Linked DNA regions of Coturnix japonica. The protein of the gene in region 1 binds, or shares a complex with, the protein of each later gene. Links are inferred from orthologs where the notes say so. Each region holds a gene or a part of one and is shown in the gene's direction. Other genes may lie near its edges.

Evidence for each region. The genes of interacting proteins can lie anywhere in the genome.
Region 2: the proteins of TIMM10B (region 1) and TIMM10 are in contact, whole or in part, in a cryo-EM structure (PDB 7CGP), measured with the Homo sapiens proteins. The link is inferred for Coturnix japonica from reciprocal best matches to the Homo sapiens genes TIMM10B and TIMM10. Residues at the interface, in NP_036324.1 of Homo sapiens: Gln7, Leu11, Leu14, Arg15, Phe17, Leu18, Leu19, Tyr21, Asn22, Arg23, Met24, Thr25, Glu26, Cys28, Phe29, Val33, Pro34, Ser35, Leu36, His37, His38, Arg39, Leu41, Glu46, Leu49, His50, Ala53, Gly54, Ile57, His61; in NP_036588.1 of Homo sapiens: Ala6, Leu9, Leu13, Glu16, Met17, Asp20, Met21, Arg24, Ala28, Lys32, Cys50, Asp52, Arg53, Cys54, Ser56, Lys57, Tyr58, Asp60, Ile61, His62, Glu63, Arg64, Met65, Gly66, Lys68, Leu69, Leu72, Asp76.
Region 3: TIMM10B (region 1) and AGK share a complex: the UniProt entries of both Homo sapiens proteins name them as parts of the TIM22 complex. The link is inferred for Coturnix japonica from reciprocal best matches to the Homo sapiens genes TIMM10B and AGK.
Region 4: TIMM10B (region 1) and TIMM22 share a complex: the UniProt entries of both Homo sapiens proteins name them as parts of the TIM22 complex. The link is inferred for Coturnix japonica from reciprocal best matches to the Homo sapiens genes TIMM10B and TIMM22.

The regions. Positions count from the first base shown.
Region 1 is NC_029516.1:174,016,686-174,022,537, reverse strand, and holds TIMM10B (mitochondrial import inner membrane translocase subunit Tim10 B), read left to right. Parts: upstream 1-3,203; 5' UTR 3,204-3,283; coding exon 3,284-3,325; intron 3,326-3,441; coding exon 3,442-3,537; intron 3,538-3,618; coding exon 3,619-3,810; 3' UTR 3,811-3,826; exon of another isoform or gene 3,827-3,949; 3' UTR 3,950-4,161; downstream 4,162-5,852. Other genes in the region: ARFIP2 (arfaptin-2), read right to left, coding at 69-184, 984-1,094, 2,276-2,384, 2,470-2,568. UniProt on the Homo sapiens protein: Component of the TIM22 complex, a complex that mediates the import and insertion of multi-pass transmembrane proteins into the mitochondrial inner membrane.
Region 2 is NC_029520.1:7,775,203-7,779,242, reverse strand, and holds TIMM10 (mitochondrial import inner membrane translocase subunit Tim10), read left to right. Parts: upstream 1-2,878; 5' UTR 2,879-2,946; coding exon 2,947-3,017; intron 3,018-3,189; coding exon 3,190-3,391; 3' UTR 3,392-3,478; downstream 3,479-4,040. Other genes in the region: SMTNL1 (smoothelin-like protein 1), read right to left, coding at 1-32, 161-277, 419-452, 736-922, 1,104-1,919.
Region 3 is NC_029516.1:55,079,634-55,085,629, reverse strand, and holds the start of AGK (acylglycerol kinase, mitochondrial), read left to right. Parts: upstream 1-3,134; 5' UTR 3,135-3,149; coding exon 3,150-3,335; intron 3,336-5,996. UniProt on the Homo sapiens protein: Lipid kinase that can phosphorylate both monoacylglycerol and diacylglycerol to form lysophosphatidic acid (LPA) and phosphatidic acid (PA), respectively. Does not phosphorylate sphingosine. Phosphorylates ceramide.
Region 4 is NC_029534.1:5,110,335-5,116,396, reverse strand, and holds the start of TIMM22 (mitochondrial import inner membrane translocase subunit Tim22), read left to right. Parts: upstream 1-3,200; 5' UTR 3,201-3,215; coding exon 3,216-3,570; intron 3,571-4,290; coding exon 4,291-4,487; intron 4,488-5,450; coding exon 5,451-5,523; intron 5,524-6,062. UniProt on the Homo sapiens protein: Essential core component of the TIM22 complex, a complex that mediates the import and insertion of multi-pass transmembrane proteins into the mitochondrial inner membrane. In the TIM22 complex, it constitutes the voltage-activated and signal-gated channel.

The DNA.
Region 1 (5,852 bases):
CTGCCCTGCTGCACAGCCAGAGATGTGACATACCTTGTATGTATTGATCAGCCAGGGATGCGACGTACCTTGTATGTGTTGATGCCCCATTTCTTGACAATGTCAAACTTCTCCACAGCGATGCCGCGAACAACCTCCTCCCCTCCGACCGGTGGGCTGGGATGAGGCTGGTGAAGCCCAGAGCCTGGAACACAGCACAGCAGTGAGGCTCAGCACAGGGCTTGGATGCAGGCCAGGCTGCCCACCCCACACTGCAGTGCTCTCAGGGCTGCTGCTCCCAGGGCCACACTGCGGCCTGATGAAGTGCAAGCAGAGCAGACTCCTGGTGCAGGCAGATCCACCCTGGGCAGCCCCATGAGATGCAGGCAGGCAGCGGCTCCCCCCTGCCAGTCAGGCACTGCTACCAGGCTCAACAGAGCCCTCAGTGTCCTGTGATTTGTCACCTGCCTGCAAGCAGCAGGACTTGGCCTCTTGCAGCACAGAATCTGGCCCCCAAAACCCTACTAGACATTGATAACCAAGGCCCTGGTGCTCACTGCATTGGCTGCTGCCCACATGGGAGATGCTGTTCCCCCTTTCACTTGCAGAGCTGCTGGCAGGGACAGCCCTGCACACCAATGGCCCTGGTGCTCCTGTGCTAGGCAATACTCCTTGTGCTCCGGGGCATGGTAGAGGTGGAGGAGAGGCCAGGCAGACACACAGTGCATCCCACAGCCAGGCACAGCTCGGCCTCATTGCCTGGTGCACTGTGGTTTGGAAGTGCCACGTGTGCCCCCAGCACAAGAACCGTGAGTAGACTCTGCTGCTGGGGGAGGCATGGGTTGGGTCTGGGTTGCTTTGGGTTGCTCCCCACCACAGCAGGGCAAGAAACTGACCCTGAGAAACACTGCACACAACGGGAGCCTTAAGCCCGGGCCCTAAGCCTGAGACAGGAGGACTCAAAGGCTGTGTCGCACCATGGGGCGCTGGGGTGGCTGCAGTACCTGCTGAAGCACCAGCCTGGCTGGCCATCCTGCTGGCGGCAGATGCACTGGGGGAGATGGATGGTCCTCGGGGTGAGTGAGGTTGGACAAGACAGCCTGGAAATGGAGGGGCTGGCAGGAGGTGAGCAGAGGGAAGAGGTGGGGGGGGTGTGAAGGACACGAGGGCAGGAGCAACCAGGACACAGGGATGAGTGTGCAGGAAGGGTGGCAGCAGGGGAGCAGATGAAAGAGTGATGTGAAATCAGTAGATACAGATGGCAGCCGCACAGACAGCATCACGTCAGAGGCACCCAGGCTCCTCTCTTGCTTCCTCCCCATCCCCAGGCTGGTATCAACACGTACCAGGTTGAGAACTGGGACAGGCCAGGACTGACAGACACAGGGAACCACTGCACAATATCCCCCCAGCCACAGCAGGCTGTCAGCAAAAGCTCATCTCCCCTCTGCCTAAGTTAATTCACCCGTTCAGCCTGGCACAACATGGAAGGACCCACAGTGAAAACAGTTGTTTGCAGCAGATGGGCCAGACTGGCCAAGAGCTGGGACAGAGACTTGTATGAAATGGGAACAGGGTGAGAGGGATGGATGGGGCAGAGCTGCTCCAGCTGCACTGACTGTGGCTCTGGGTGTGCAGCAGCAGCAGCTCCCCAGAAGCCCGTGGACACCATCCCTCCAGCACAGAGCATTTACAGACAGGCTCAGAAGTGCCTGGGGCTCCCAGGTGGGCAGCAACAGCAAAAACGGGACATTAACGCAGAGTCTGGGGCTCAGAACCCTTCTGCCCTGTCCCCCTCTGTCTGAAAGGTGTCTCTCAGGTGCAGCCACCACAGCTGTGCCAGTACTGTGCACCTTTGGGGCTCTTGGATACCCAAGAGCTGAGCCCACACATCACACCAGTGCCCCAGGAGGGCAGAGCAGCTCCCTCAGCAGAAGCCCTGCATCTACGAGAGAGCCAGGCATCTCCACAGCTGCCTGTGAGCCAAGGGCACGTGCAGGGTAAGAAGTGCAGCTGGGTGGAAATCACACCCCCAGGATGGGCCCCACAGCATTGGCGGGGTGGCAGCAGTGCTGTGCTCTGGGGCTGTGAGGAGGCTGAGCTCTGCAGGGCCACGTGGCTGTGACTCAGGACGGCCTCAGCTACGAGCAGAGCTGCTGGGAGCAGGGACACAGACTGGCCCCGTTCAGGGCTGCAGCAGGGTGGGCTGTGACCCCAGCACTGAGCCCTAAAGCCTCCAGCAGAACACCCAGCTGACCCCCACCCACAGCCCCGTCCCTGTGGAAGCCGTTTGTACCTTTGATGGTGCCGGTGGGGATGATGCCTTCAGCGGTTCCCCCGTAGCCACCAGACACGATGCTGGTTTCGTTGAGGTTGGGCCCCGACACCATCACTTGCTGCAGGTCCTGGGGGAGCAGAGCATTAAATTGAAGCACAAGGACAGACCCCCAACCCATGGGGCCGACGTGAGGCCCCGGCGCAGCCCCACACCTGCTCCAGGCCGTCATCTTCGGGCAGGCTGCCGGCGTCCCCGTTGCTGCTGATGGGGATCTCCATGGTGGCGGCTTTGCTCATGATCCCATCCGACATGGTCAGGGCCTGCGGGGACACACGGTTCGTTCACGGGGCTCCTCGTGTCCCCTCGGTCCGAGCTCCCCACGGCTCCTGGCGCGGGGCTCGGGGCCACGTCGGCAGAGCGCGGCAGGGCCCGGCCGGACCGGTCCGGTCACATTCCGAGCATCGCCCCGCCCGCACCGAGCGCCGTTATCACGAGCTGGACCCGCCCCTCGGTACCGGCATTGGGGGCAGCGCTGCGGCCCGGCCCGGGACTCGCAGCCGCCGCTCGGAGCCAACGAGCACCGAGAGCCCGGGCGGGACGAGCAGGAGCGACACGAGCAGCGGCTGCAACGGCACCAGGAACCGGGACGGGACCGGGGCGGCCCAAAGGCCGGGCTGTCACTGCACGGCCGGGCCCTGCGGCGGCACCGGGGCTCCCAGCCCGGCTCCCACCCGGGGCCCGACCTTCACCCCGACCTTCAGCCCAGCCCAGCCCAGCCCAGCCCGTCCCGTTATGTCCCGTTATGTCCCGTTATGTCCCACCTGCCCCGCCCGGCCCCGCTGGGCCCCCCCGCCCCGGAGGCTCCGCGGCCTCGATCCGCCTCGGCCCGGACGCGCCGGAAGTTACGTCACGACCCGCGCGGGGGGCGCCGGGAGACCGAGCCGGAAGTGACGTGCTGTAGATCCCCGAGCGGAAGTGCGGCGGGGCGGAAGTGCCGGTACTTCCGGCAGCGCGGGGCGGGCCGACATGGAGGCGGCGGCGGCCGAACAGCAGCAGCAGCTCCGCAGTGTGAGTGTGGGGGGACGGGGGGAAGATGGTGGGCGGCCCGGTTCGGTTCGGTTCGGTTCGTCCCGGTTCGGCGGTGCCGGGCCGTCCCGGTGACCGTACGTGCCGCTGTTTTGCAGCTGCGGGACTTCCTGCTGGTGTACAACCGCATGACCGAGCTCTGCTTCCGCCGCTGCGTCTCCGACCTCGGGCACCGGCTGCTGTCACGGCGCGAGGTGAGCGGGGACCGGGCGGGACGGGACGGGACGGGACGGGACGGGGTGAACGGAGCCGAACGGAGCCGGTGCCGCCCGTAGGAGCGGTGCCTGGACGGCTGCGCCGGGAAGCTGGTCCGCTCCAACCACCGGCTGATGGGCGCCTACGTGTCCTTGATGCCCGGCATCGTGCAGCGCCGCGCCGCCCGCACCGAGCACAGCGCGGAACCGGCCGCACCGGACGGACACGAAGCGGCTCCCGCTGATCCCGACGCGGCTCCCGCGGGCACGTAACGGAGCCGCGGGGTCGGTGCGTTGCCGTGGCCGGGAGGTGGCTGCGGGACGGTCACCTGATGGCAGCTCCCGTGTGGAGCCGCTGAACTGCCCGGTGTCACAGCCGGGCCAGGCCGAGCCGCGTTCTCTGCACCCACAGCAGCAGCCGGGACTGCCCGACATGGCGGCCAAAACCGGCAGCACAACGGCACCGGGGGCAGGAGGAGGAAGGGAACGTGTATGAGCTGCTGTGTGCACTGCAGCTCCCGGCTGGAATCCAGCACTGACTGGGCTCCTGCTGTCCAGAACTGAACATCTTGTGTTTGTATTTGACCATTTCATGGGGTTAATAAAACGTTTTATGTGTCGTGCTGTCAGTGTGTCACAGGGGTACACGGACACTGCTCCACAAGCAGCGCTGTGTGCTGCGTCCTGCTGCCAGCGGCACCTTCCTCCCAGCAAAGGTTCCCACTTTGCTCCTTCTAGGAACTGTTTCTTTGTGTTCTTGCTGCTGGAGCAGCATCAGCACAGGCTGCAGCTCCCAGCCCTGCAGGCATTCAAGGCCAGGCTGGATGCGGCTCTGGGCAGCCCTGGCTGCTGGTTGTGACCCTGCACACAGCAGGGGGTTGGGATGGATGAGCACTGTGTGCAACCCAGGCCATGCTGTGATTCTATGCTATGATTCTGTGATACCCTGTTCCCTGGCTTCCCTCTGATGGGTTTCATTGGCACTTAGAAGAGTAGACAAATGCACACAGATGTAAGGTCTTTAAGTGCCAGTAATTGAGACAAGTCGACCTTCGTTACTTAAGCTATGGGAAAACCAAAGATCTGGTGAACATTGGAGGCCCCTAAGATTATTTTCCACCTTGTGGACAAAGCATAAACTGGGTACGTTCTCCAGCAAGTCCATAAGCTGCCGGGAGAGCACCCGGCTGATGGGCTCCCGCTGCACCACTGCCCCCCTGTCACAGCATTCCAGGCACGGCCCCGCTTGGGGCTGTTTCTCCTCTCACAGGAGGCAGGTTGTGTCTCAGGCCCAGCTGTGCACAGGGAGCCAAGGCCGCGGCAGATAGTGGCTGTGTGGGAGGGCTGGGAGCTGTGTGAGCAGTGCCTGCAGTGTGGGTGCTGTGTGTGTCAGCCACAGCACTGCAGGTGGGTGGTGCTCATGGGTGGAGATCCGGCAGAACCAAGGTTAGGAACCAAAGGCAGGCATGGAAGTGAAGGAGCTGGGCTGTGCAAACAGCTACACAGGACAGCAGTGCATTGGTCCTCCCAAGGAGCCCTGGGTGCACAGGCAGTGATGCAAATCTGCACTGAGTTTGGGCCGTGGGTGCTGCTGGAGGTGGCGTTACTGCAAGGGAGATTCCCTTTTGCTCAGCCCCAGCTACAGTGTGTGACACTCAGTGTGGTGATAACCCTCCTTTGGGTCTACCCCTGTGGTGGAGAAGTTTTCCTTTGGGTTTAACAGCAATTTTCCATGTTCAGTGTGGTGTGATGTAAAGGCACAGCCTGTGTGTGTTAGTCCAGCCTCCACTGTGCCCTCCAGCCCTGGCACAATGCACCATGGCACAATGAAGCCTGATATGGCACAGCACAGCATGGCACAGCACGGCATGTTACAGCCCCATCTGCCGGGCTGTTGCCTGGTGTTGGCTGCATCTTGGTGTGCTCTCCCAAGGGACTCTGCTGCCTGTGACTCATCTGTGCTGACTGCCAGCCCACGGCCCGTGTCCCAGCTGTGTTCCCCTCATCCAGCCCACACCAGCCTGGCTGACATACACTGGGGCTGGAAAAAGCGTTGCCAGATGGAAGGTACGTGGAATCTGCTGTGCTCACTCACTGCTGCTCTGAATGCTGCCCTCCCTCTAAATGCTCTGCAGTTGCACTTCAGCCAGGCACGGTGCCTTTGTACTCAATGGACTCTGCTGCATTCTTCTTCCATTAGCTTATAGATTGGATTTTGGAACAACGCTGTCCCCATAGTGAGGTTCTCCACCACCTGCAGAGGGTGGTGACGCACTGGAACAGGTTGCCCAAGGAGGCTGTGGATGCCCCATCCC
Region 2 (4,040 bases), on another chromosome or scaffold:
GCTTCAGGTGTGGAGCTGGGCCTGTGGCTGCCCTGTGGCCAACCCAGTGTCACCCACTGGTGCGTATCCCCCCAGGGACTCACCAGTGGGCAATGTCCCCCCACTGCCCCATGCCCCCAGCTGTCCTCATCGCACCCTGACCTCCCCAGGCCCCACTCACCCCCCAAACTTCTCCAGGATGGCGCTGCGCCCATGTGCCCGGCTGCTCATTCGTGGCCGCCCCACAGCTGCCACCCTAGGGGGCACCCGGCTGCGTGGCCCCATTGCAGACACACCACTGTAGAACACAAGGGTGATGGCTGTGAGCAGGGATAGGGTCACCACTGTGGATATCACCTATGAGAACAGGGTATGGGGATGCCAGCAGTGGGGCAGGGCTATGAGGCAGCCCTGGTGCTGGCTGTTCTTCTTTTCTCACCTCTCACTGCCACCTGAGCTCTCAGTGCTACCAGCCGCAGGGGAGAGCAGAGGAGTCAGTAGGACAAGAAGGGGCACCCAGCATAGAGCTACCCCCCTGGGGCAGCCATAGTGCCTGGGGGAACTGCAGGGGGTCCCAAATAGGGCAGCTGGGACTGGGAACAGAGGGACTCTACAGAGTGTATGGGGATCTGTAAGAGAGCTTGGGAGAGGACCCACCTCACCCCCCATTCCTCATCCCAGGCCCCCTCCCGCCTCCCCTGCCCTGGAAGGGGATCCCTGTGCTCATTTCAGGGCCCTGCCCAATGTAGCTCTTACCTGTGGGGGATGTGGGGGACACAGGAGATGAGGGAGATGTGGGAGACATGGGGAACGTGGGAGACACGGGGGAGGTAGGGGAGAGAGGGGTGGTAGGGCTGGTGGGGCTGGTGGCCTCCTCCGTGGGTGAGCAGGGGGGGAACTCAGGCCACAGCTCATCATCCTCATCCTGCAGCCAGGTGGGCTCCTATGGGCACAGGCATGATGGCTGCACAGCCGTACCACCACCTCACTGCTGCCATCCAACCTGCTACCACCACCCTGCACCCCACAGCCACAACCTGTCCCTTGTGCCACCACCCCCACCCCACCAGTGCCACCCAGTACCCAGCCCCTGGCAATGCCACCCCAGCCGTGCCTCCTCTCACCTGCCGGCCTTGGCTGCTGCCTGCTGCCACTGGCCTGGGCCCCAGCTCAGCATCCTCCTGTGGCACTGCACTGCCTCTGGTTTGCCCTTCAGCCTCGTGCTCTGCAGCCTGCCCTGCTGTGGGCTCTTTGACAGCATCCCCTGCTGCCTTAGCCTCACTCACAGCATCCTTTGCAGCTTCCCCCTTAGCCTCACTCACAGCATCCTTTGCAGCTTCCCCCTTAGCCTCACTCACAGCATCCTCTACAGTGTCCCCCTTAGCCTCACTCACAGCATCTTTTGCAGCCTCCCCCTTAGCCTCACTCACAGCATCCTTTACAGTGTCCCCCTTAGCCTCACTCTCAGCATCCTTTGCAGCCTCCCCTTTAGCTTCACCCACAGCATCCCTTGCATCCTCCCCCTTAGCCTCACTCCCAGCATCTCCTGCCATGCTGACCTCACTCACAGCATCCCCTACTGCCTCCCCCTTAGCCTCACTCCCACAGTTCTTCTCTGCTTCTACCTCGCCCCCAATCCTCGTATCCCCTGCACTCTCCCCCCCAGCGCCCCCTTCATCCCCCCCAGCCTCCCCCTGCCCTTCCTGTGCTGCACTTTCCCCGCTGTCCCCCCCCACCATCCCCTCTGTGGGCCCTGTTGATGTCTGTGTGAGGTCACCCAGGGCAGTGTCATTTGGGGTTGGGGCTCCATCGGTTGTTGTGGACTCCATGCTCCTACTGTGGGCTGCAGGGTTGTCACTGAAGTATCCACCGTGCCTTCCACCCCATGCAATCCCATTGCACTTCTGTCCCTCAGCGTTCCTCCTGCCCGCCCACCCCATCGGCCCCAACACAGCTCCCAGTCCCCATCCCATCCCCATTATTTATCCCTTCCCATCCACCTCGACCCAACCCCCACCCCCCACTCCTGTCCCCAAACCCCTCCCTCCCCCCTGCACACCCCAACCCAACCCATTCCCCATTCATGTTTTCCTCCTGCCCCCTCCCAGCTCCTCCAGCTCAGTCCCAACTCCACAACTCACTCCCTACCCCCAACCCCGACCCCCCTCCATCCCGTCCTATCCTCGTTTCTCACCCCAAACCCCCGACGTCCCCCCCAGCCCCCCGGCGCCCCATATCCCGGCTCACCGCTCTCCGCTCTCCCCGCGGCCGTGTGACCGCCGCAGGTGCCGCCTTCAGTCAGCGCCGACGGGGCGGGTCGGGGGCCGGAGAGGGGCACAGCGGGGAGGGGACGGGACGGGACGGGGGGGAGAGGAGGCCGGGCGGGGCCTGGGGATAGCGGGGACTGCGGGATGGAACGGGGACACAGGGACACGGACACGGGGGGACGCGTGCACGTGAGGACATGGGGGGACGTGGAGGCGATATCGGGGGGATATGAGGGTCACGAGTGGGCACGGAGACACGGCACATGGAGGAGATGGGTGATGCGTGGGACACGAGGGGACACGGGGGACACATATATGGGAGAGAAGGGTGACAAAGGGAACACAGAGTGCCCTGATCTGTGGGGGGACATAGGGGACACATTGACATAGAGGGACACGGGGCCATAGACCCGTAGCAGACACAGACACGAGGGGGCAGAGCCGTGAGGGCAGACCCACGGGGACACGCGGAGGTCACGCGTGGGCCGGGCCGGCCCCGATCCATCCCTGCCCTCCATCGCCTGCCCCCGCCCACCCCGCTCCGCACCGCTCCCCACGTCCCATCAGCGCTGAGAACGAGCCGTTGTCCCGCCCCCACCCGTCTCCTATTGACCGAGAGCGGCGGCGGGGCGGAGCGCCTGAGCGTGTGGGCGGAAGCGCGTCCCACGTGCATCCTGCGGGAGCGCGGTGCGGGAGCGACATGGACCCGCTGCGGGCACAGCAGCTGGCGGCAGAGCTGGAGGTGGACATGATGGCCGACATGTACAACCGGTGCGCGGCCTGACGGGACGGGCCGGGGCCTGGGGGTAGTGCCCGGGACAGGGAGGGGCTGGGAGAGCGAGAGGCGCGTGGGTGTCGCGGGTGGGGGCTGTGCGGGGGCTGTGCGGGTGCCGGGGGTGGGGGGTGCCGGGCAGAGCCGTGGGGTGACGGTGTTGTCCCTCAGGATGACGCAGGCGTGTCACCTCAAGTGCGTGCCCCCACACTACAAGGAGGCGGAGCTGTCGAAAGGCGAGAGCGTGTGCCTGGACCGCTGCGTGGCCAAGTACCTGGATGTGCACGAGCGGATGGGCAAGAAGCTGACGGAGCTGTCGCTGCAGGACGAGGAGCTCCTGAAGCGCATGCAGCAGGGCACGGGCACCGCCTGAGCCCTCCCTTCGGACTCCCCTTCCCATCGTACCAATAAACTGGAGGCTCTGGGCCAGCTGTGTGCTTCCCTCGGCCCCCCAAACCCGTCTGTGGTGCTGTGTCAGGGGGTGTCCCACTAACCTACTGGAGATGGGGGCACCCCGGCGTGTCTGCTGTGCCCACGTCAGCCTCGGGGATAGGCTGAAACCTTCCTTATCCCTTATGGGGTCAGGACAGGGCTGTGCCCCTCACTCTGCTTGCTGGGGGGACACTGGGGAGCACCTGGAGAAATGGCCACAAAGGGACACCTGCAGGGGGGCAGTGAGAAAACAGCACACCTGCATGGGGACAGGCACAGAGACATTTGGTATGGATGGCTGGAGAGGGACAGTGCCCTTTCCACACCTGGAAAAGGACCACACAGGGACACCCACGTGGGGACACTTAGGGGGGGACACCTGGATGGAAACAACCCCAGAGCCACACATACAGATGTGCACACATGTGTAGGGAAGACCTGCACAGGGTTACTAGATGGGAACACCCAGCCAGAGACACCCCAGCCTGGGGGTGGGCACTGTGTGTCCATCCACCCGTACACACACAGTGCGCCTGTGCCGGTGTGTCCCCGGGGCTGGCTGGAAGTGGGTCAGGCTGCGCGCACACTCA
Region 3 (5,996 bases), about 120 Mb from region 1:
CCGTAGATTAGGATGTCATTGCCTCAGTAAAAAATGAGTCATTGCTGCAGATGTATTGGTACTTTGCTGGAGTTTTTCTGCACGTAATATCATCTGCCTATAGGATGCAACCAGGATGGTATACAGCAGCAGCAGCAGGACTTTAAGGCAGCTGATATCTTAATGTAACTATAGATATGTAGTACATAACAACAAGGAAACAGCACAAAAGCCCTGGTTTCCTACCTTGTCTCTTATCCAGTTGTACAACAAATGGAGAGAATACAAATTTATTTACTTTCATTAAACAATGAGCATTAATCTCTCCTGGAAGCAAATTACCTGTGTGAGAATCTGGTGGCTGTAAATCATCCACTCTGAGGTTCTGTTGGTGGCAGTGTCAACACCTGCCTGTGGAGGCTTGATGTTACCAGCATGATGGATGCCAGCTTCCATCATCCAAATGGGTACTGCCTCCAGCTTCAGGATGAATGACCTTAATCTGGACCAGCAGGACTTTATAAGAACGGAATCCCCTACCAGTGATTAAAATGATATCTTCAGAGTAGCCCTCACTGTCATATTCAATAAAAACAAATAGTTTATCAAACACAGAAGTTGCCATGGATTTTTATGCATTGGGTTTTGTGCTGCTGAGTGAAGGGATTGATCCCAGCCTGGGGCACTGTCCTTGTTCTCTCATTCAAAGCAGACCTAAGGGAGATCCAACCCAGCTGGTGCTGGCAGTGGGACAGAATGGGGCTCCTCTTAAAGCTTGGAGCCAGGACTGCTCATTCTAATGCCTCAGTGGCACCTGCATTTACTGAATCCAAATAGGTTGGGAGTAGGCGCAGAGCCTCCTGAAATGTCTCTGCTAAAGGAACAACCTCCCGACAAGATTGCCACAGAGAAATGTAATGGGTTTCTGCGACTGTTCAAAAGCTGTGAATATCTCCATTCATTCCCTTGGAAAAAAGGTTAATAAACTCAGAGAATTGGGGAATATTTCTGTGTAATAGTCCAGCCACAGGAAGAGGGGGCAGGGCACAAAAGCAGTGATTTTTTTGCTGTAGAAATATGCTGGGCACGCTCCTGAATTTTGATCTAGGGAGGGTGAAGCTCATATTGTGTTCTGCTTACTGAATAGAAAAGGAAAAGTGGATGGAAGGAAATGAAGGGATTATTCTCACACACAGAGTCGAGTGCCTCTGAATTACCCAACCAAAAACTCTGTCGGTGTAATTCAGACCTCTCTCCACACCAGTGGAGCAGGCACTGACTGCAGACATGAATGCCCCATGGGCTTGCACCTTTGGGCAGAGCTGAAAATGAGGGCAAAAGAATCCATCATGAACTTTTCCTGCTACCACAAACACAGAATTTCTCCGGTTAGCTTCAGTGGCTGCAATACACCCTGTTATTACACAGGACACAGGCCAGAGTGGAATGGAGAGGGACATAGAAATGGAAGGGATGCTGCAGATGCTGGGCTCATGAGTTGGAGAGCACAAGTAAAGAAACACCAACTGGAAAACCCACCAGAGATTTCAGCTAGCATGGGAAGCCCTAGGCAAGGAAACAGCACTTTCTGCAGCTCAGTCCTGTGGGAGAGATAGGCCTGCGGAGAGAGAAAAGTTGGATGTGTGGAAACCAGTAAGGCTGGAGCTCCTATCCCACAGTTTGATCTGGAGAGACACCCCAAGAGACCAAGAACAAGGGCTCTATCCACTGTAAATCATGTTTGGTGCTCAGGTGCTGCAGAATTAAAGCAGAGTTCAATCTCCCTCGAGGGGCCAGAAGCATGGAGAGATTTGCAGTCTGGGGTTTTCTCATCAGCAGCACAAAAGCTTAAGGTTTCTGTGCTAAAAGATGCTCCCTCCAGCCTCCCACTCTTGCCACAGCTATATCAATAAGGTGTATAAAGGTAGGTGTGGGGGACAGACGGAGCTTATCCTTCATGCTACCATCAAGTAAAGAAACTCTCCCTGCCTTCACAGAGTGCTGATGTAAAATGTACTGGAGATGCAGGATAGGGTCACCCAGCTCAGACATATGAGGATTATCTGCAGACCATATGGCTAGAATTAGCTTTCAGGCTGTGAATTTGAATAGAAGACCAGCTGGTGGCTGGGAATAGGACTCTTTTCACAGCTTCCATGGAGGTATCAGAAGGTCCAACTCATAACTACATATCACGTGATGAAAGCAGTGACTTCAGTCCTTTTCCCAGAGGAACAATCATGGCAGAAACACAGCAACACAGACAAGTTAGCTGAGGTGAGGACTTGGGGACAAGTTGTACTGAATAGAAAAGAAGAATAATTCTCTGTCCTTGAACAATACTTACATATGTACAATCATAGAGCATTGCCAAGTGGTAGAAAAGCATCCCTCCTTTACTGTTTCTGCCATGTACTCTAGCTAAGAAGAGAACTTATCCAGTTAAGCATGTGACTTTTCTAATGTTATAGATATGTCCCTGAAGCATGGTCTGGGATGAGGCACGCACTTGTCTTCACAATTAATTTGCGTAGTAATTTTAGGTGATAAATCCCATGTCAAGCATTACAGTTGTGGGGCAGCCTTTCGAACACTGACTTCTTTTTACACAAACCATCCAGCAATCATAAGTAACCCAAGGACGTATTGCAGCCTCTTCCAAGCAGTTTTCTGGAAAAGGTAGCAGTCATTTGACTACAGTATGTGATACAGAGGATGCTCAAAATCAGCCCTCTATCCTCTCATTTTTCATTGCACTTATCCTACTACCTACTTCTATTGATTTGACATGCAAAAACTAGGAGACCTAAAAAGGAAGTACCTGGTACATGTGAGAGCACGGCAGGTGTGATCTACCTTGAGGGCAATCAGCAGCCACAGCCAAAAACTAGGACATGCATGTTTGCCAGGAGGGATAGCAGAACGGATCTGCATCCAAAGTAAAGCCAGATAATGGGATAAGCACACAATATGTTGCTGCTGTCTGCAGTGTTTCTTCTAAGGGCAGTTGTCAAAAAGCACCATCTCAAATTTCCAGACCGATTTCTCAGATAACGTCCCAAAAATTGCTGAGGTGGGAAGGGAGTCCACTTCTATTAGTACACAGATCTTCTGTGAGAGGATCTTATCTCAGAAGTGACCTCCGTGCTGGCAGCCCGGAACGCAGGGCCATGGCTGCCGTTTCCAGCCGAGCCGGGCGGCGGCGGCCGCGGGCCGTTCCTCGTTTCCCTCCGGGTTCCCGACGGCATGGCGGGGGCGGGGAAGGTGTTCGCTACGCTGAGGAGTCACTGGAAGAAAACCACGTTCGGTGTGTGCTTGCTGAGCTGGGGGGGGAACTGGCTGTACGGGAAGCACTGGTAAGTGCCGCTTGGGGCGGAGGGCTGAGGGGCGGGCGGCTCTGCGTCCTGTTCGTTGTGGGGCCGGGTGTGTAGCAGAACTGCTCTGTGTGCGCAGAATAGGATCATAGGATTGCTCAGATTGGAAAAGATCTTTAAGATCATTGACCTAAACTTCCCTTGATGCAACCTGAGGCTATTTCCCCTTGTCGTGTCATATGTCACCAGTGAGAAGAGACCAGCCCCACTCAAATACCTTTTCAGTATTTGAAGAGAGCATTAAGGTCTCCCCTCAGCCTCCCCTTCCCCAGACTAAACAGCCCCAGTTCCTTCAGTCACTCCTTATAGGGCATATTCTCAAAGCCCTTCACGAGCCTCGTTTCCCTTCTCTGGAGCTGCTCCAGCACCTCCATGTCCTTTCTGTGCTGAAGTGCCCAAAACTGAACACAGTACTCGAGGTGAGGCCTCACCAATGTCGAATACAGGAGCAGGATGACTTCCCTAGTCCTGCTCACCACACCATTCCTGATACAAGCCAGGGTGCCACTGGCCTTGGCCACCTGGGCACACTGCTGGCTCATATTCAGCTGGCTGTCCATCAATACAGAAGGTCTTCTCACCTGGCTGCGCATCAACAGGGGTAGGCTAGGGGCTCTCTTTGCAGTTTCTGTTTTGCTTCCAAATGTGATAGTGGATTTTGCATTTCTTTTCATATGTCAGTCAGCCCCGATTCTTTTGTTTCTGTACCAGTTACACTTGGACAGATCAAGGAGAGAGCCATACATGGGCTGTGTTGGCTCTGTGTCTTGCTGTTAGTAGCATCACAGGCTAAATTACTATGCACCAGACATACTACTAGACTTATATTTGCCCTCTTAGAACAGATTAAAGGTTTAGTGAAGTCTTGTGCTTCATTTTCAGGCATTGCAGGAATTTCTGATGAAGGGGCTTGCTTTAGCACAGCATTAGTTCAGATTAGCCTCTGACTTCCTGGAATTAGCTGTCTGAGGTGTTGCTCATTTATTTGGAGCTGAACCCTCCTGCATCCTTCTTCTTGGCTTTTCCATCCTCATGAAATTTCTGAGATGTTTCTCTTGCAAGGAGAAGTTCATTTGCTATTCTGACTTCTCAAGGTTCATTCTTCTTTTGGATGCAGAGGCTACGATGCCTGCATTAAGTGGAGCTGCTACTATCTGCCCTGCAAATAAATGGCAACTCTTCTATAGTCAGTCTCAGGCTGCTCATAAGGACACAAGAACTCTGAAGCACTTGCTTAAGACTTTGGGGAATGCTGCATAGACAGATTGGGGATATGGAGAATGTTACCTTCTCCAGACTCATCCTCTGTGCATCTTCCCTGCACCTAAATAGAATATCCCAATTTGAGAAAGAGCCATGAGGAGCATTAAGTCCAACAGTGGTTAAAGACGCCGCCTTGCAACACTGGGGCCCGAAGTTCGAATCCCCCCTGTGGCGCAAGTGGTAGAAGTGCCGCTCTGCTACACAGAGGCTCGAATCCCGGGGGCTGGACTCGATGATCTCTAAGGTCCCTTCCAACCCGCACGAAACTATGAAACTATGAAACTATGAAACTGCTGGCTCCACACAGGATCAGCCAAAACTCAGACCCTTTGTTGTCCCCTTCCAGCATAATGTGGGCTGTGCTGGGGGTCTGATGTTGATGCCATTGTGTTTCATCGGCTGTAAAGGAGAGTGGGACACTGCAGTGAAAGGATTCTTCTCTGAATTAGTCTAAAGGTTGTTGATGGCTTGTAAAGGCCAAGGAATTTCTTAGCCTGGTCTTGCGTGGTGCTTTTTTCTTGTAGCATTTAGTTTCTGGATCAGTGTGTTAGCCTCTCATCTTTGGAGGTGTTTGTTCTAATACTGACTGGTTTAACAGGAAGGGGCTTTTCAATGAACTAGAAGAGCAAAGAGTGCAGATTCCCCCTTGACCATTTGTGATTCAGATGATCTGTATGTGTAGTATAATGGGCAATGCCTCTTCAAAATTGACATTAATCAGGAAATAGGAAAAACTTCTCATGTGTGGAGTGATAGGCATAGTGGCTGGTTGAACTACTGTTAACTAAAACCCTGTTGCTGTTTTTGGAATGCCTTGGTGAACCTTAACATTCCTTTGTTTCTCACAAAAGAGCATCTAAAATTGGTTGCCTTGTATTTGGGATAGCAATTACCCTTACAATATTGGAGAAATAAATTGAATACTCAGTACTGTCATATATGAGTTTATCACTCTTTAATATCACTCGATTACATGAATTATCATCATTTTAATCAATAGTATATCATAGAATCACAAGGTTGGAAATGACCTACAAGATCATCTAGTCCAACCGTCCTCCCTTTACCATACCTACAGAAAAACCACTAAACCATATCTCCTAGCTCCCTATCCAGACGCCTCTTGAACACTGCCAGGGATGGCAACTCCACCACCACCCTGGGCAGGCTGAGATAGTGGTATATCATACTACAGGTGTGAGGGGCACTGAATTTTATATGCTAGATCAAACCATGGAGGGTGTGCAGATTGTCAGAGACATGTTTGTACTCAGTGCCTCACTTCTATTTAACATATCCAGACAAGACTGATTACAGAGAAGTAATCAACTTGCCTTTTAAAAACCTCTTTTCTCAATAGGATGGAAAAAGGGTACACAG
Region 4 (6,062 bases), on another chromosome or scaffold:
TTGAAAACCACATCCTGCTCCTTCTCCCTGAGCTACAAATGAGAGCCACAAGGAAGAAGCCTGCTGGTCCTAAAAGGAAATCATGTTTAAATCTGTGTCTGTATCACTGCAGTCTATCTGACATTGACCCAAAGAAAACCAGTGAGTCAGGCTGCCTTTGCAGTTTTACCTCCCATATACCTGCCATCATCTCTTCACAATGTGACCCGTTATTAATCCTTCAGCTGCTTGCCATCATAGAGACAGTATTTTCCAGCATAGAAAGCCTTTCTTTTTAAACCTTAATATATACACATATATATGTATATTTATAACTGCACTCTCAAACATAAAACTGGTTAAATCCATAAGCCAAGGGAAGCATAGATGTTAAAGCAACTAAATCCACTGGATTTAGGCAGTTTACTGCTGTAATGTCCTTTCAAAGCCAAGAACTTAAAATCTCATTGGTAAGAAATCATTACATTCAGAACCTGGATGAGAGGTAGGAAAGCTGCAGTCTCAGTTCATGGATGTGAGTACTACAGAGTGCAAACGTTTGGTGGTAATGCTGGAATGGAGTCCAGCACCAGCACAGTCCTCTGTAGCCCTGGGGAATCTATGGGCTCCAGGAGAGGCAAGAGCTGCAGAGTAACCAGCTCCCAGCATACAAACCTGCTGTGCTTTCTTCTGCTCATGGTACAATGGAAAGGTTTCCATTCTCAGAGGAGGGAAACCTCTTCCTCTCAGTTCCCTGGGCTGCTGCAGTTCTGGGAAGGGAAAAGGGGGCAGACAGGTGGGTATAAGAGGGAAAAAGAATGGATTAATCTCACTACTTCCAGCTTCCATCTTCAGGCCCTTCCTGCTTCAGCAAGGACTCAGGAACTGACAACGTGTTACAAAACAAAGTTGAGCTATGAAAACCTTTGGGTTTTGTTTTCAAACAGCAGTGCCAAAAACAACAGCTGAAGCCTATTCAAAATGTTGGAGGAACACGCAAAACCAGGATTTCAAGCAAAGCCATTACTTCCAAGGTTTGAATAATCTGCCCTTCAGAACCTTGTCTGGAGAACATTGCAATGTGGGATAACAACTGAGTCACCGCACAGGCCAAGTGAAATACAATCATTTCATATTCCCGCATGCTGCCCTCTGCTGAAGTGCTGAGCACAGTGGGTCCATCACAGGCCTGAGCAAAGCCACCATCAGCTGCACCTGATCCTGCCATCACAGCAGGGAGGAGATGCACAACATGAAGAGGTTTCACCTGGGACCAGGAAGAAACAACTTAAAATTTCCTGTGAAGAACTTATTGGAGATGTCTCAGACTCTCAGGTTCCCTCTCCGAACCTTAATATGTTCCAACTGACTTCCCTTATGTGACCATTTGGATAATCACATCAGGACCTTTCAAGCACATATATTTGTTCATAGGTGGAACACAGAACAGCCTGAAGTGGAAAAGTATAAATACCTAAAGAAGAAAAATATATTTATTTATGGATATATGTATAGAAATCAATATAATTATTTCATATAAACACAGGTGAAAATACTTGTGAAATATTGTTATATTCACAAGCAAATATAAACTCATGATTCTGGGTTTGGAAACACAGGAAAATAAAATAAAAGCAGTATTGCAGTCTCACATATAAACTCACAGCATCAAATGCCAGCTCCAACATTTCTTTCTTCTCCTTATGCCTTGGGAAAATAGGCTTTGCAGTGTGACTTCAAGATCAGCCCAACTAGGTTAGTGTGGATCAAAGAGAAGATTGAGATCTACAGTTCAGGGCTCCTTAGGGAGCTCAACCTGCCACCAACCTCCTCTTTTGTATAAGGATCCCATTGTAGTAGACATTAACAGCAAGCTTTGCAACAGCTTCTGACCTTAAGATATAAAAAGCCTTAAAGAGTAAAAGAATAGTGGGGGAAGAGCTCTGGGCAGGTCTGATGGTCCAGCCAGCAGAGGGCAGTGGAATTTAATAGGAAAAGAGGAAAGTTATTGAAAATAACACCATCACTTCATTTGAAGAACCATCAAACCAGGTTGTTATTTGAACCTGCGTATCCAGCACAGACAAGATACAGGGCAAGAAATGTTAAAAATGAAAAGAAATAGAAAATAAATGATTGTGGATCCTTTGGGTTTCTAAGCAGTCCCCATTCAGAGCAATGAATGGCATCAGGAAGATGTCACACTTAACACATCACTTAAGAACAACCAACAGATCTTTGATATCGTTTTCAGTTCTCAGCACAACGATCTGAAGCCACCTCATCTCATCTGCTGAAACCACCTCAGGGCTTCAAAACCTGTGGGCAACTTCTAAAGTTAAACCAAGCCAACATTGAAGCCAACCAGGCTATTCCTTCCAAGCAGACCCACCTGCATCGTGCTGGGCTGAGCAGAGCGCTGCTCCTGCTGCACAGAACAGCAACACAAGGCACAGAGCGTGTGGGTGAAGGCTTTAAACCTTGGCAGCTCCTCCTCGTTCAGCTGAGGGGGGGCACAGAAGAAGAGTTTCCCACCCTGCTACCAAACAGGGTAAGCGCGGAAGGGCTGAGGTTTCTATATGACTCGCTGCGAGCTCGGTTTGCATTTTATGACAAAAAGACAGACTTTTTTTGCTCTCTAAGCACCTTTGATGTCAAGCTGCCTCTCCGTGTGCCCGGGGCAGCGCAGTGCTGCTCGGATGGGCCGCAGGATGATCCCAGCACCACGCACAGCTCAGCTGAGCCCTGAGTGCTACGAGGGGGACACCCACCCGCAGGGCTCAGCCCGGGGCTGTGCAGAACGACCACGGCAGGACCCGCAGCTCTCAGCCCCGTGTTGAGGTTGAGCTGTTATCCCTAAAGATAGAAGTCACTCCGGGAACGGAGCGACCCCTCAAAGCTTAACGACCCCTCCGAGCTTAACGACACACCGGAGGCAGATCGGCCCCGCACTGCGGCTCCTCATCCCTCCCCATCCCCGTGGCCGTCCCATCCCCGCTCCATCCCCCCCGTAGCCGCTCTCACCTCCTATCGCTGCCTCTTATCGCAGTCTCCTATCGCTGCCTCTTATCGCTGCCGCCCCGTTGGATGCTCGTGCAGCCGGAGCGCTCACCTCACTGCACCGCCCCCAATGGCCACCAGGGGGCGCTGTACGCCGGGTAACGGGGCTCCCAGCCCTCAGCGCGGCCAATCGCGTGTCTCTCCGCAAAGCACGCCGAGAGCTGTAGTTCAGTGTCATGGCGCTGCCGCGGGGAACGCTGGGAAATGGAGTCTCGGCAGCGCGCCTCACAGCGGGAGTCTCTGTTAGTGAAACTACAACACCCATCAACCCCCGCGCGCTACGGAAGCCGCGCTGCCGGTTCCTCGTTACGCGGAGGACAATAATGGCGGCCGCACCGCCGGGCGGTTCGCAGCCTCCGCTGCAATACAGCGCTGTGCTGCAGCACCTGGTGGGCGAGCAACGCCGACCCCGAGTGTGGGACCCCAACAGCTTCGGGGGCATCCCCTGCCCGAACAAGAGCGACGAGCAGAAGATGGTGGAGAGAGCCATGGAGAGCTGCGCCTTCAAAGCGGCCTTGGCCTGCGTGGGGGGTGAGGGGGGGTGGGGGACACACGGTGTTGGGTTGGGGCTGAGGGGGGGGATGAGGGTCTGTCAGATCTTAAGGGCAATTCCAGCCCATGGACACGGGGAAGGGGCTCCCACCTTCCCCTCCAGTTTAAGATAGAACTCTCTGTGCTGTGTGCCTGCACTAAAGGGGGCACTAAGATGGTGAAGGGCCTGGAGCATCTCCCCTATGAGGAGAGACTCAGGGAACTGGGTCTGTTTAGCCTTGAGAAAAGAAGGTTGAGAGGGGATTGGATCCAGGTTTATAAATACCTGAGGTGTGGGGGCCATAGTGGTGAGGCTGGTCTCTTTTCAGTAGTGCGTGGGGACAGGACTAGGGCTAATGGGATGAAAGTACAGCATAGGAAGTTCCTTAATAAGAACTTCTTTACAGCGAGGGTGACGGAGCACTGGAACAGGCTGCACAGGGAGGTGGTGGAGTCTCCTTCTCTGGAGATATTTAAGACCCACCTGGATGCCTACCTGTGTGATGTGGTGTAGGGAGCCTGCTTTGGCAGGGGGGTTGGACTTGATGATCTCTAGAGGTCCCTTCCAACCCCTACAATTCTGTGATTCTGTGATCAGATCAGTGTCTGCAGCACATCAGCCCTTCATGCTGCCCTTAAGACCAGAGCAGCTCTAACCCTGTGAGTGTTGGATCACTGCTCCAATCCAGAGCTTCATTTCATAGCTGTTGTCTTCCCCAGGGTTTGTTCTTGGAGGAGCCTTTGGGATCTTCACTGCTGGCATCGACACCAATGTGGGCTTCGACCCCAAGGACCCGTATCGCACCCCGACAGCCAAGGAGGTGCTGAAGGACATGGGGCAGCGCGGCATTTCCTACGCCAAGAACTTCGCCATTGTGGGCGCCATGTTCTCCTGCACCGAGTGCGTGGTGGAATCGGTGAGTAACGACCCTCAAACGTTACTATGGGAGCTTTTATTATACACCATTGAGCGCCTTTCATGAGTCCAAACCACTGTGGTGAGGGATTGGCTCGTTGCCTTTTGCTTCTTGATCATTTAAGCTTTTCAGTTCTAAAGGTTTTCAGAACTGTTCTGTGTTGGAATAAGCAGAGCTGCATGCAACAGTGAAGAGCTTTCCAGTTCAAGTCCTGGATTTTGGCATTGATTTTTGAAACTTTAGCTCCAAACAACTCATAGTTGTGTTAAAACATCAAACTGGGAGTTGCAACGTGGCCATCTGAGCCTCTAAAAAGTACATGTGAAGAAAGGGATCCTTTGATGAAAGATCTGAAGTAATAGGGCTGTTTTCATCTTGCCCCTACAGCAGGAAACGACCTCGTGCTGCTCAGTGGTAAAGCTATCACCCGTTTTCTTAAATAGGAAGATGAGCCTGTTATGAATGTCAGTACTGTCCTTCAATCGAAAAACACAATTAGTTCTTAATCCGTGTAAAAGAAAAGTGTATCTGTGTGCACAACGAAGCAGAACAAACACGTTGCACTGGTGAAAAACTAGCTAATAGCTAATGTTTGCCCGCAGGCTGCTGTTTGCTCTCATGGCTGCATGGCCATGCTGTGCTCACAGTGCCTTTAAATTGTCTGTGAGCTGGTGCCGGTGCACTGTGCTGCCTTGTGGGGGCTGTATGGGCTCATCTGAGAGTGTGCTGTAGCACTGCATTGCACCATGCGGATGTGTCTTACCTCTCCTGCTGACCTGCTCCTTCCCCTCCTCCTGGCCACATAAAAACTTTTACAGTGCAGGGGGGCCATCTGCTGAGAGCAGAAGGAAAAGCATCCTCATCTGAAACAGGGCTGGAAGGCTTCACCTCCCTTGGTGTTAGTACAGATGTCGAATTGTTATTCCATGTTTACTTGTTGTCTCTTGTTTTTTAACTCCACAGTATCGTGGAAAGTCAGACTGGAGGAACAGCGTTATTAGTGGCTGCATCACAGGAGGAGCGATTGGCTTCAGAGGTTGGTGATGCCTGGTAGCAACTGCTGTGATAAGGCAGCAATTTGGGATGGTAACAAGCAGCATTTTTAAGGCAACGCACGCTGCAAATCTCTCTGTATGGGGTTATGTTGATGTCAGCATGAGAATGTGCTTGAAGTTGGCAGAACTGTCATCTCTGTCTCTTTCCTGTCATCTTGAAAGATATGTGTGGGTAGGGAAGGCTGGTTGTACAGGACAGGGAGAGCGGAGAGAAATGAACAGAAGTGACTTGAAAGCAAATGAGGAAATGGTGCTGGTAGCTCTCCACATGCTACTGGGGTGTCATGGAGAGGGAGCCAAAAATATGTTCTGAGCAACTCGCTGAAGTTACAGCTCTTGTGTTAATAGAGCTCTACTTAGATATATTGTTTCACTGGCAGGAACTCTGTTAACTTGATCAGCTTGTACAATGCCTCCCTCCTTTCTCCTGTCTCAAAGAGGCAATTCTATGTAGCTGTACAAGAGCAGGAGCACTGAGATTTTAGTCCAGCAGGACCTAGAGGGGACTTCTTGGGAAGCT